Linked DNA regions of Neodiprion lecontei. The protein of the gene in region 2 interacts with the protein of the main gene of each other region in a pairwise test. Links are inferred from orthologs where the notes say so. Each region holds a gene or a part of one and is shown on either strand. Other genes may lie near its edges.

Region 1 (5,025 bases), on a different chromosome or scaffold from region 2:
ACTTTGTCGTAAAAATTTTTTTCTTTTTCGTTTGTTCGTCAGGACTATCGTAAACGTTAGAAAGTAAATACAATACAACCAGAACATTAAAGCAGCTACACGTTATACGGAATAAAAAAAAAAAAACTATTAAAAATGTAATCATAATTATAACATATCGTACGTGTATGTATATCATTCGGGCTGAGAAGAGAATCACGTTGTGAATTCATGCGGTCAAATATTTGCTATCGGACTGAAGTTTTTGATCGGATCGTGGATATGTCGAAACGGGGTCTTAAAAACTACCGGAGAGAAAAATAGAGAGAGAAAAAGAGAGAGAGAAAGGGAAAGCAATATAAATAATACGAACACAAGCCTTGGCTAACGATAATACGAATTAGCGTGCGTGAAAAAGGAGTACGTTGAACGATGAAGAGCAGAGGAACCGACTCCGAGAGAGAAAGAGAAAGAGGGAAGGAGAGAGAGAGAGAGAGAGAGTCAGCGTATACGGAGTAAAGGAAGGCAGACGACGGACCAGCGGGTCGAGGAACGAGGCAGATCAGCTGATCGGAGGCGCGCGCCAGGGTTTACGAGTTACGGCCGCCAATAAACTCACCACGGGCCGTTGTTCGCTGCGACGTTTCACGGTTCGTAGGGGGACGAAACGGTGGGGGGGTAGAGGGAGAAGGGTGCGAGGGAAAACGCGTTCGAGCTCTCTTCACCTACGTACGCACACGTACGCGTACCTAGGTGTACCGGTCTATACAGGCGTGAACGCGAAGAACGCATGAATGAACGAACGACTCTCACACACGTATACTTTTACGTCGTGCGTCGATCCCACTCGGCGTTCGTAAGCGTACACGCACACGCGTGCATTACGCTGCAAAACACGTGGAACACGACGTTCCGCAGACGTCGAGCAACTCTTTTCGCGATCAACGAAACGACGGGAATGACGAAAGTGTAAGGTCGCGGGGGTGGCTCGAAATCGGCATCGATGCTTACCTGGAGGCGGATAAGGGCTGGAGGTGACCGGTTCCGGTGCCCCGTAGTTCCTGAGACTCCCGTATCCGTCGTGAGGAAAGGCCCCCTCGGCGGCGACCATGGCGGCGGCGGTCCTTCCCCGATCGTCAGCCGCCGAGGGTGTGAGGTAGGGTATACCGGCCTGGGAGTGGGGGTGGTGATGACCGGCGGTGTCGACGGGATGATGATGCCTGGCCGTCGAGTAGGGGGAGTAGTTGCACCAGCTTGGGGAGAAGCTCTGGTGGCAGGAGACGGCGGGGTCGCCGGCCGAGCCGGAAGTCGATCCGCCCCCGCCGGCGGAGGAAGTCGCACCGGTGGCGCCCCCCGACGAGTTGTAAGACTTATAGTCAGCGGGGGTGGGTCCGCCGGCGCCCCCCGAGGAGGCCGTGGCCGCCGCCGGTGACCAGAAGCTGAGAGCGGCGGCGGCCTTTCGGCTGTCCCTCGAGGATCCCGTCGTCGAGCTCGGGTCGGCCGCCAGGTTGTAGTAGGTGGGGGGGTTCGCGCCCCCGTAAGCCTGGTGGTGGTTCAGCGGGTCCGCCGCGGGCCCCGAAGCCCCGTAGTGGGCAGGGTCCTGGGGGTGGTGAGGGCTGTAGCTCCAGCCGCCCTGAGAGCCGCCCGTCGAGGAGTGCGAGTGCCTTATCACGCCGCCCGCCCCCGCGCCCGCCGCCCCTGAGGGCTCGACGCAGGGAACCTCGCCGTAGGTCGAACCGCCCCCGGGGGTGGCGGTCAGCCGCTTCGCCGGTATGTGGAGAGGACCCGCCGCGCTGTTGCTCGCGACCGACGAGGCGCTCGGTGACGTCGAACTCGCGCTCGCCGTAGGCGGGGGTGGAACGGTGCCGGCCGATGCGGGGGCGCCCGGGGAAGTCGGTGTCGTCGCCTGCGGGTGAGAGCCTGGCGTCGAGTTCTGCTGCTGCTGCTGCTGCGGCTGCTGCTGCTGTTGCTGGATCGGCAGGAGAGAGGAGGTCGGCGGTACTGGCGGGGAGCTGTCCTCGTAGAAGCCGCTGTTCATGATGTTCCACCAGGTCGTCACCCCGGCGGAATTCCCCGCTCCGGCGGCTGCACCCATCGGCGTGACGGAGCCAGGGTGGCCCACGCCGGAACCGCACAAGGGTGCGGCGTGAACATTGTCGTACAGTGTCGCCGTCGAACAAGCCACGTGATCGGCGATGGTGCAGATGGTGACGGTTTATTGCCGGGGTTATAATGATCGTGGATGAATCAGGCAGCGGGTTTTCGGTGATACGGATTTCTCACAACACCGGATACGTCGGGACGAACCCGATTGGTGGTTTTTAGTTTTATTTTTAGATATATGTTTTGTCGTTTTTTTTTTGTTGGTATATTTTTTTTTTTGTTTGTTTTTTGTTCACGTCAAACCGTTCACCACGATGATGATGACGATGACGAGGATGAGGCGGCGAGGAGGTCGGCGTTCCCGTTCACGTTGCGGCACAGCATCGTCGTCGTCGTAGTTCGCGGTGTAAATAAAGGAGACAGTCGCGTGTTGACCGGATGACGTGGGGTGGGGTGAAGGAGCGGTGGAGGGGATGGGGTGGACGGGGGGTGGAGAAGGGGGGGGGGCAGAGACGACGCGGCAGACAGGTGGAGGGTGGCGGCCGTGGGGGAGAAGAGCGGGAGACAGACAGAGAGGGAGAAAAAGAGTGAGTGAGTGAGAGAGAGAGAGAGACAGAGAGAGAGAGAGAGAGAGAGAGAGAAGGACGTGTAGAGCGAGAGCGTGGGGAGGGTGGGAAGGTCGACGACCAAAATAAAAAAAGAGGAGAACCGTGGAAGAGAAGTCGAGTTAGAAAAAGGCCGTTGATAAGGATGCGGAAGGGTTATTGTTGTTTGTTTTATTTTTTGCGGTGGTGGGGGGGGGGGGGGGGGGGGGGGGAGGAGGTAATCAGATTTGCATCATCCAGCAGCGATCGACGACGAGTCGGTCCAGTTTTGTTGTAATTATATATTCGTAATTTCCAACGAAGCGAAGATTTTTAGATGAAACAGAAATAAGATACACACACGCGATTTAGTATGTTGATCGTGTGCAGGTATTATTATTATTATTATTATTATTATTATTATTATTATTATTATTATGAACGGTATATTTTATCGTCAACGAAGGGACTCGATCGTTGTTGTATCGAACAGTTTTCTCTGCTCTTTGAAACACTTGTCTGTTTTTTTCGTCGTCTCTTATTGTTTATCACGCACGGTTATATGGGAAAAATTTTACCCCCTGCATACATGTATACATATACGTATATGGATATATATATGTACACACACACATATATATGTATGTAATGTGCATGCATACGTATAAATCAGTCCGTCATTTCACAGGATCAACGAGACACTTGGCATGGAAAAAAAAATTACACCTGCTGTGGTGTACTATTTTGCAGAGAAGATGAGAAAAAACTACATATATACACACACATATATATATATATATATATATATATATATAAATATCACTCCGAGCTCTGCACGTACTTTTCCCCTAACAACTGGATAGTCGACGATCCCTGGCGATAAGCCGAAGTCGTACAATCATCACGGTGTCGTGTAATTTATGCAAAACTGTCACCCCGAACATCACAATCTTCTTGCCTCTCGTTTCAACGAGAATTAGCAACGTTATTTGTGTACAGTTTGTACGGAAAGTGAGAGCTAGAGTGAGAGAGACAGAGGTGAAAAGATAACGAGGAAAAAAGAAATGGTTAATCTTCGTCTCGTTGCAGTTTATTATTTTTCGTAAATCTTTATTTACGTTGATGCTTTTGCTTGTCGTAGTTTTTTTCTCGTTTTTTCTCTTCTCATCCGTAAGTCAAAAAATGCAACAATCGCACTCAACCCCCCCGACACTGCGTGCAGCAATTAAATATCCACTCAAACGCCGAGGAGCGCGCGCGCGCACGCCTTTTCTTTTTTTTTCTCTCCCTCTTTCTCCGTTGCTGCTGCTTCTTTTTTTTCTTTTTTTTTTCCTCCAACGCCTTTACAAGCGGAACACTGGGTGTCCAAAAGCTGGTCCCGAGTGTTCGGTCGAGTAGAAACGCTCCGTTACGATCAGACGGCCCAGGCGGTGACCGTCCGTCCGTCTGGCTCCGACGAAAATACAGCAGTAGTAGAAGAAGCGGCTCGCAGTCCTTTCTCCCCCCGAAGGGCTGAGCGCCGGGGTGACTGACTGATACTCCAGGTTTTCTCCCTCGCGTTATATCGCGCGATAAATTCTTTCCCCCGAGTTTGTCGGAGGGTCGAAGAAGGAAGGGTCGCTCTGGCTTGTAGGCGCGCACGGTTCCAAACCAACGTCAACACGAAAGGGAGCCCCTTTCTTCTCGCTTAGCCTCGCCGAGCCGTACTGAGCGCTCACTGAGCTCCGCCGGCGCGAACTCCCGACGAACTCGATGAGCGCCGACCGCGCGATCTGTCGGCGCGCCCGTCAACCGCTCTATTCTGTCGCCGCTCACCCCTCCGCCCCCCCAATCTCACGACGTCTCGCGCTCTCTTTATCTCAACGTCTCCTTCCCTCCCGCCCAAATTCTCGGCTAGCTTCTCTTCTCGCGAGATCCGCTACCGCTGCGGGGAGAATCTCGATTCCCTCTCCTTGCGCGAACGGCGATCACAAGATTCGGGTCGACTTGGACGGTTTTTTAATCACTTATTTATTTGAAGAAATTTCTTTTTACCCTCGTTTTAGGAAAAAAACGCGATCCGTAACCCCAGGAACAATTACGTTACAAGGATCACGCGTGCTACGAATTAAAAATCCTCCCCCCTCCAACGACGCCACGCGAAAGCTCTCCCCTACGAGCGGAGAAATTAAACTTGACCGAGTGAGCGAACGGCGTTTGACGGTAGCTTGCGGCAAAACCCCGTGGGGGCAAGGGAAAAGCACCAGCGTGCTCAGTGTACCGCAACAATACGTCGTTACGTCACGGTTCTACTGCAGTCTAAATCTCGGTACTTTTATGGGCAGTAAAGTAAAACGGTCCGACAACAATGCCTCTCGGT
Region 2 (4,972 bases):
ATGATTCGACCCTTCTTAGAAGCTCTCTTCAGGTTGTTTATTTTGTTTTCCCTTTTTCGTTTGTTAATGTTTTCTTGTCTTTTTTGTTGTTTCTCTTCCAGCGATTTCTGAACCTTTTCTTTTCGAGCCTCCCATTTTTTAGCGCTATGTTTCCTTTTTTGCTCTTCTTTTTTGACTGATTTTTTCAATAACTCTGGATTATCCTTGACTTTTTCCCCACTTGCCTTGGCTAGAACAGTTTTCCAAGCTTGTCTCTCCTGAAGTTCATCGGCCGCATCTTTTTTTCCAGCTTGCTGTAGTTCGTTTATCTTCAACTTCTGTTTTTCCAACTTTTGCAGAATCTTTTTGGGATCCTTGTCTACTTTAGGCTGTACTTTTTTAGCACCGATTTCTGAGAAGTCGAATTTACTGAAGACCATTTTACCTTCCGAATTGAAAATTGGTTTCGGTCTTGTGAACTTGGGCACATCTCCGTTCTCATGCTTCGCTTTGGCACCCCCAGCTGCAGCCAACTCTGTCTTGGCCAGTTTTTTCTGCATCAATCTCTCTTCTTTTTTACTTTTTTTCTTCAGTCTATTTTTCAGGCCCTTTTTCAAAAGTTTCGCTTTATAATCCAATCGCTTTCCCTTCAACTGTTCCAATTTTTCATGCAACTCTATTAACGTATTCGCTCTCGACGTGCCTGACCCCAGAGCCAAAAACATCTTTTCTATAACCCAAAACGAGAGTATTTGGTAATTAACAGTAATGGATGAACTTTTCATCAATCTTTTATAGGAATCCTTGGAAATATCAATTATGTAGTCTTTCCACACGCAAGCGTGCCGCTGATAACCAAGAACTTTAAATATTCTACAATTGTTATCTCTAGCAGACTTATTGCAAAAAACTAATACCTCTGTCATTGGTTTGTTGCTCGTGGTCGGCATCATCGTCTTGGAATTCATCTGCAATAAAAAAAGCGTTAAATTATATCTCGTTGTCAACCAGACGAGTCTATACAACGTAAGAATTATCAAATTTTCAGGTTATATTTGAGTTCGAACCGTTTTTGTGCAGGGCAGAGTATGGTATAGGCATACGGGAGAACAAATCTGTTATGTACTTATTTTCCCTTATCAATATCTGCTTCGCCAACTTCACGTCGAATGATTTAGCCTTACGCGTCTCTGTTAACTGCATCTTGTCTTTCCTTTTAACCACAAAATTTCACGTGCACCTCCTGCAGCTTGTAAATATAATGACGATGACGAACAGCAGTCGCCGCGGCGTGGTCAAATCGCGAAACGTACGAGAGAGAAGCAGACAGAAGCCTGAGAGAGCCCACGCTTGCACTTCTCGTGTCTCCGGTGTATTAGCGCCCTTTGACACCATACAGGTATTCAGAACTAGTTTTAGAGATATTTGAACGGTAAAGGCATGACGGTAACTGAACTGCACTCTGCAGTATCTTCAGTGATCGGCCATATTCGGCATCACGAAAACAGTGGATGTTAGTAATTTGTTCATATTTGACTACTGATCCCCGTAAATGTGTTCCGCATCGTTCACTGTTTTCACGACGCTTAATACGGCAGAGTATTGGTCGGTTACGCCACGCGTTTACCGACCAAATACCTCGAAAATTAGTGTCAAAAACCTATATCACGGAAAGACGAGCGTGAGCTCTCTCAGGCCCGTAGACTTACTGAGTCTGTGTCTGGTACTATCAAATGACGCACAGATGGCGCTACTATCAATTGGGAAACGTCATTCCAGGCAAGGAGGGAGTGATAAAGAAGGTGCAACGTTGAGGTTGAATATTCTTGTACCGTTATCAGCAGCAGACATTCTTACCGGCGAAAAGTAGCGAGCAAAACTTTGCAAGGAAACGTGGGTAGACGTCAAGCCTCGTTGTCACTTGGATTAGATTAGGTTAAGTTAAGGTTATTTTGGGTTATGTTAGAATTTTATCCGTGAATCCTGACGAATCTGACGTTTCCGTAAGCCAGGTATGAAACCATTATTTATTTTGATTTATCCCAGCTGACGGACATAATTATACGCACTATTGCACGCATACATTCATTAATTTATTGTTTATTGTAGTAAACAGCAACGACAGTCTGAAAAGTTGAGTTCAAATTTTTTCGTTACAACGGTGATAAATTCAACACTTGATAACAGCGGCTAATTTTTATTCCAAAATTTTTTAACATATAAGTTTCCCAGATACCAAATATTACCACGTAATCGCAAAAGAAATCCTGCAACATCGGTTCCAGTTCCAATCAACAACTGCATTCAAACATGGCCGCCATGGAAGCCATGTTTATTTGCCGCGCATGCTCACGGGTTTGTTTGGCAAATTAAACCTCCGTTTAGACGCTTGAGAGTTGATATTTTGCCGGTAAAACACGAGTAAAAATATTATTTTTCACCAATAAGTAAACAGTGGGACAAATACGTATCAACATGCCGCCTAATCGGGTACATAAATAAAAACTGTAGAATAAAAAGTGCAATGTGGGCGGAGTCTGCGTCGCAACTGCTGTCAGGAATGAGCGTCGGATGCGCGACGTGCGAGACTAAACCTGCCTTACGTGAATACAATCAGCATTAATGTGAAAAACTTTTATACAATGATCAGACCTTAGTGAATATCGGAGTGTTGGCGACAGTGCGTGTAAACCGTGAACGACATCGAATCGGTGATAGTTTGATGCTCGGAGGTTAAATAAACAAGCGTCAACGAAGAGTCGCGCATGGGGCAGCAAACAAGTGAGAGAGAGACGTCTCGTGTCGGAGGACGGAGCGCGAATGCGGTCCTCTGATTGGCGGGAACGGGTATGGCTGGCGCACGCACACTCGGCACCGAGGGAAGCTAGTTTCACACTAACCAAAGTCAGATCGCTAGAGACAGAACGCACACGGGCCGCGCGCTGCCTTGTAAAGGCACAGAGTAATGCCATACGAATGGCAAGAGTTTTCCAAATCGGCCTAGGCTTACCGTGAAACACCGTCGAAAACAACAATACCGAGGATTCGAAAACGGTAACGAGGATGACGTAAATTAATAGTTATTAAAAAGTAATAAATAAAACAAATAGATACATAAAATAATAACTGTAATAAAACGAACCGTGTATACGTAACACTTTGACAATCCGTCAACTAGACACTACTCTACATCATACCGACTACGAACCTAAAACATAAGAGATATATATATACACATATATATATCATAAAGGATAAAAAAGAATACAATAATACAATAAAATATAAGAATAAACGTAAGTGTGAACGTTGGAAATTCGAGACAAAGGAAATTAATACCAGAAGACACTGTTGTATATATATATATATATATATATATATTGTATATACACATATATATATATACACACATATAAATACATATACGATGCTGATAGTGTCTACGAATTATTTTCAATCGCGTTTTAATGTAACAAATCGATAATAATAACCACAGTGATTATTATTGTTATTGTTATTATTATTACCGTAGTTGCGAGTATATACATATATATATTTCCAAATAATCCCGAAGAGAACGACGAAGGTAGCAGAGTTTGCCGTATTTACACACGGAGAAACATATGTACGCGATATAAGATTCGTTGTTAGTTACGGATAAAGTGGAACACGTGTTGAAAAATTAATACAACGACGAAAGTTTGTGCGCGAGATGGGAGTATTTTAATAATCATCATCATCATCGTCCAATAATAATCGCAAAATAGAAGAGAAATGAGAAAGTGAAACGCGTCGGTTGGCGATTGTTTGATTGTTTGTTTACTGTTGTGTGTTTCTTTGTTTTTAGTTCTTGTAAATCTTGTAAAGAAAACCATTCGGGATCAGTCATTCGTCGCTCCGAAGTCCTGACAAAATCGCGAGAGGCATCATAAAAAAAAAAAACGAAAAAAAAAAAACTAAAAACAAAAACAGAGCAAAGAGAACATCGGTGCTCCAGCGAGCCGCCAGACGTAAACGGAGCTGGTACTCAGTTGATGGATGAAACTGGAAGGATGCTGCAACACGGTGGTTCAGGTGTGAGTCTGATGGGGGGCAACCAGGGTCAAGGGGCCCAAAACACGGGGGGCTACGGCAGCATGGGGCCCGTCGATGCGAGCGCGGCTCAAGGCCCCGATCAGAGCGTCGAGGCGAGGAAACAGGACATCGGCGAAATATTACAGCAGATTATGAACATAACGGACCAAAGTTTGGACGAGGCACAGGCTAGGTAATTAAATTCCCAATTCAATCATTTCGCGAGTATACTTTAGGGAAAATATGAATATCGCGCGGACGAAATTCCGTCGGGAACTTGATTCTGTCGATGATTCAGGGATCGATACTCTGTAATTTAGAATGGAAAGAGGTGACGATTACGGTAACAAGTGCCTGCTCATAGAGTTACTAATGCGTTGAGTGTAATTCGTTTTCATAACCGAAATAAAGGAGGCGCAAAATACGACAAGCGATCGGTTTGAGAGTTGTTTAACACTTGAATATACCGGCCTTATTGCGGGTTATTGTTGTTTTTAATTTATATCGAATATGTGTACGCTGTCTGTTTAAACAATAGTTAAACGTCTTTTCTGTTTGTTATTGTCCACAGAAAACACACGCTAAATTGCCACAGAATGAAACCAGCCCTATTCTCCGTCTTGTGCGAAATCAAAGAAAAAACTGGTAAGCTAAGACATCAGATACCTGCATTATCGAATTCGAATTTCATACGTTGTTCAAATGCTGTACGATACATTCCGACCTACGTTTTCGCGATTATTCAACGACTGTCGCCGTCCGTGCAGAGAATCGAAAAAGAAGGTCACACGGCTACATGCAGTTCGTGCACACGTCCGTTTGTTTATACTTCGCCTCAAGCCGGAGGAACATTTTAGTTTTAAAAGAATTTCGAAGGGTTTTAAGCAGCGGCGACGCTGTCACACCGTATCAATGTCAC

Evidence for each region.
Region 1: the proteins of homeobox protein extradenticle (region 2) and homeobox protein abdominal-B-like interact in a protein complementation assay, tested with the Drosophila melanogaster proteins (2 studies listed by BioGRID). The link is inferred for Neodiprion lecontei from reciprocal best matches to the Drosophila melanogaster genes exd and Abd-B.

Annotation. Positions count from the first base shown.
Region 1 is NC_060260.1:2,754,769-2,759,793, reverse strand, and holds the start of homeobox protein abdominal-B-like, read right to left. Parts: upstream 3,114-5,025; 5' UTR 2,075-3,113; coding exon 991-2,074; intron 1-990. UniProt on the Drosophila melanogaster protein: Sequence-specific transcription factor which is part of a developmental regulatory system that provides cells with specific positional identities on the anterior-posterior axis.
Region 2 is NC_060262.1:32,546,294-32,551,265, reverse strand, and holds the start of homeobox protein extradenticle, read left to right. Parts: upstream 1-1,831; 5' UTR 1,832-1,991; intron 1,992-2,399; exon of another isoform or gene 2,400-3,826; 5' UTR 3,827-4,013; coding exon 4,014-4,246; intron 4,247-4,624; coding exon 4,625-4,698; intron 4,699-4,972. Other genes in the region: surfeit locus protein 6 homolog, read right to left, coding at 1-709, 897-947, 1,047-1,182. UniProt on the Drosophila melanogaster protein: Transcription factor which acts with the selector homeodomain proteins altering the regulation of downstream target genes such as wingless (wg), teashirt (tsh) and decapentaplegic (dpp), thus affecting segmental identity.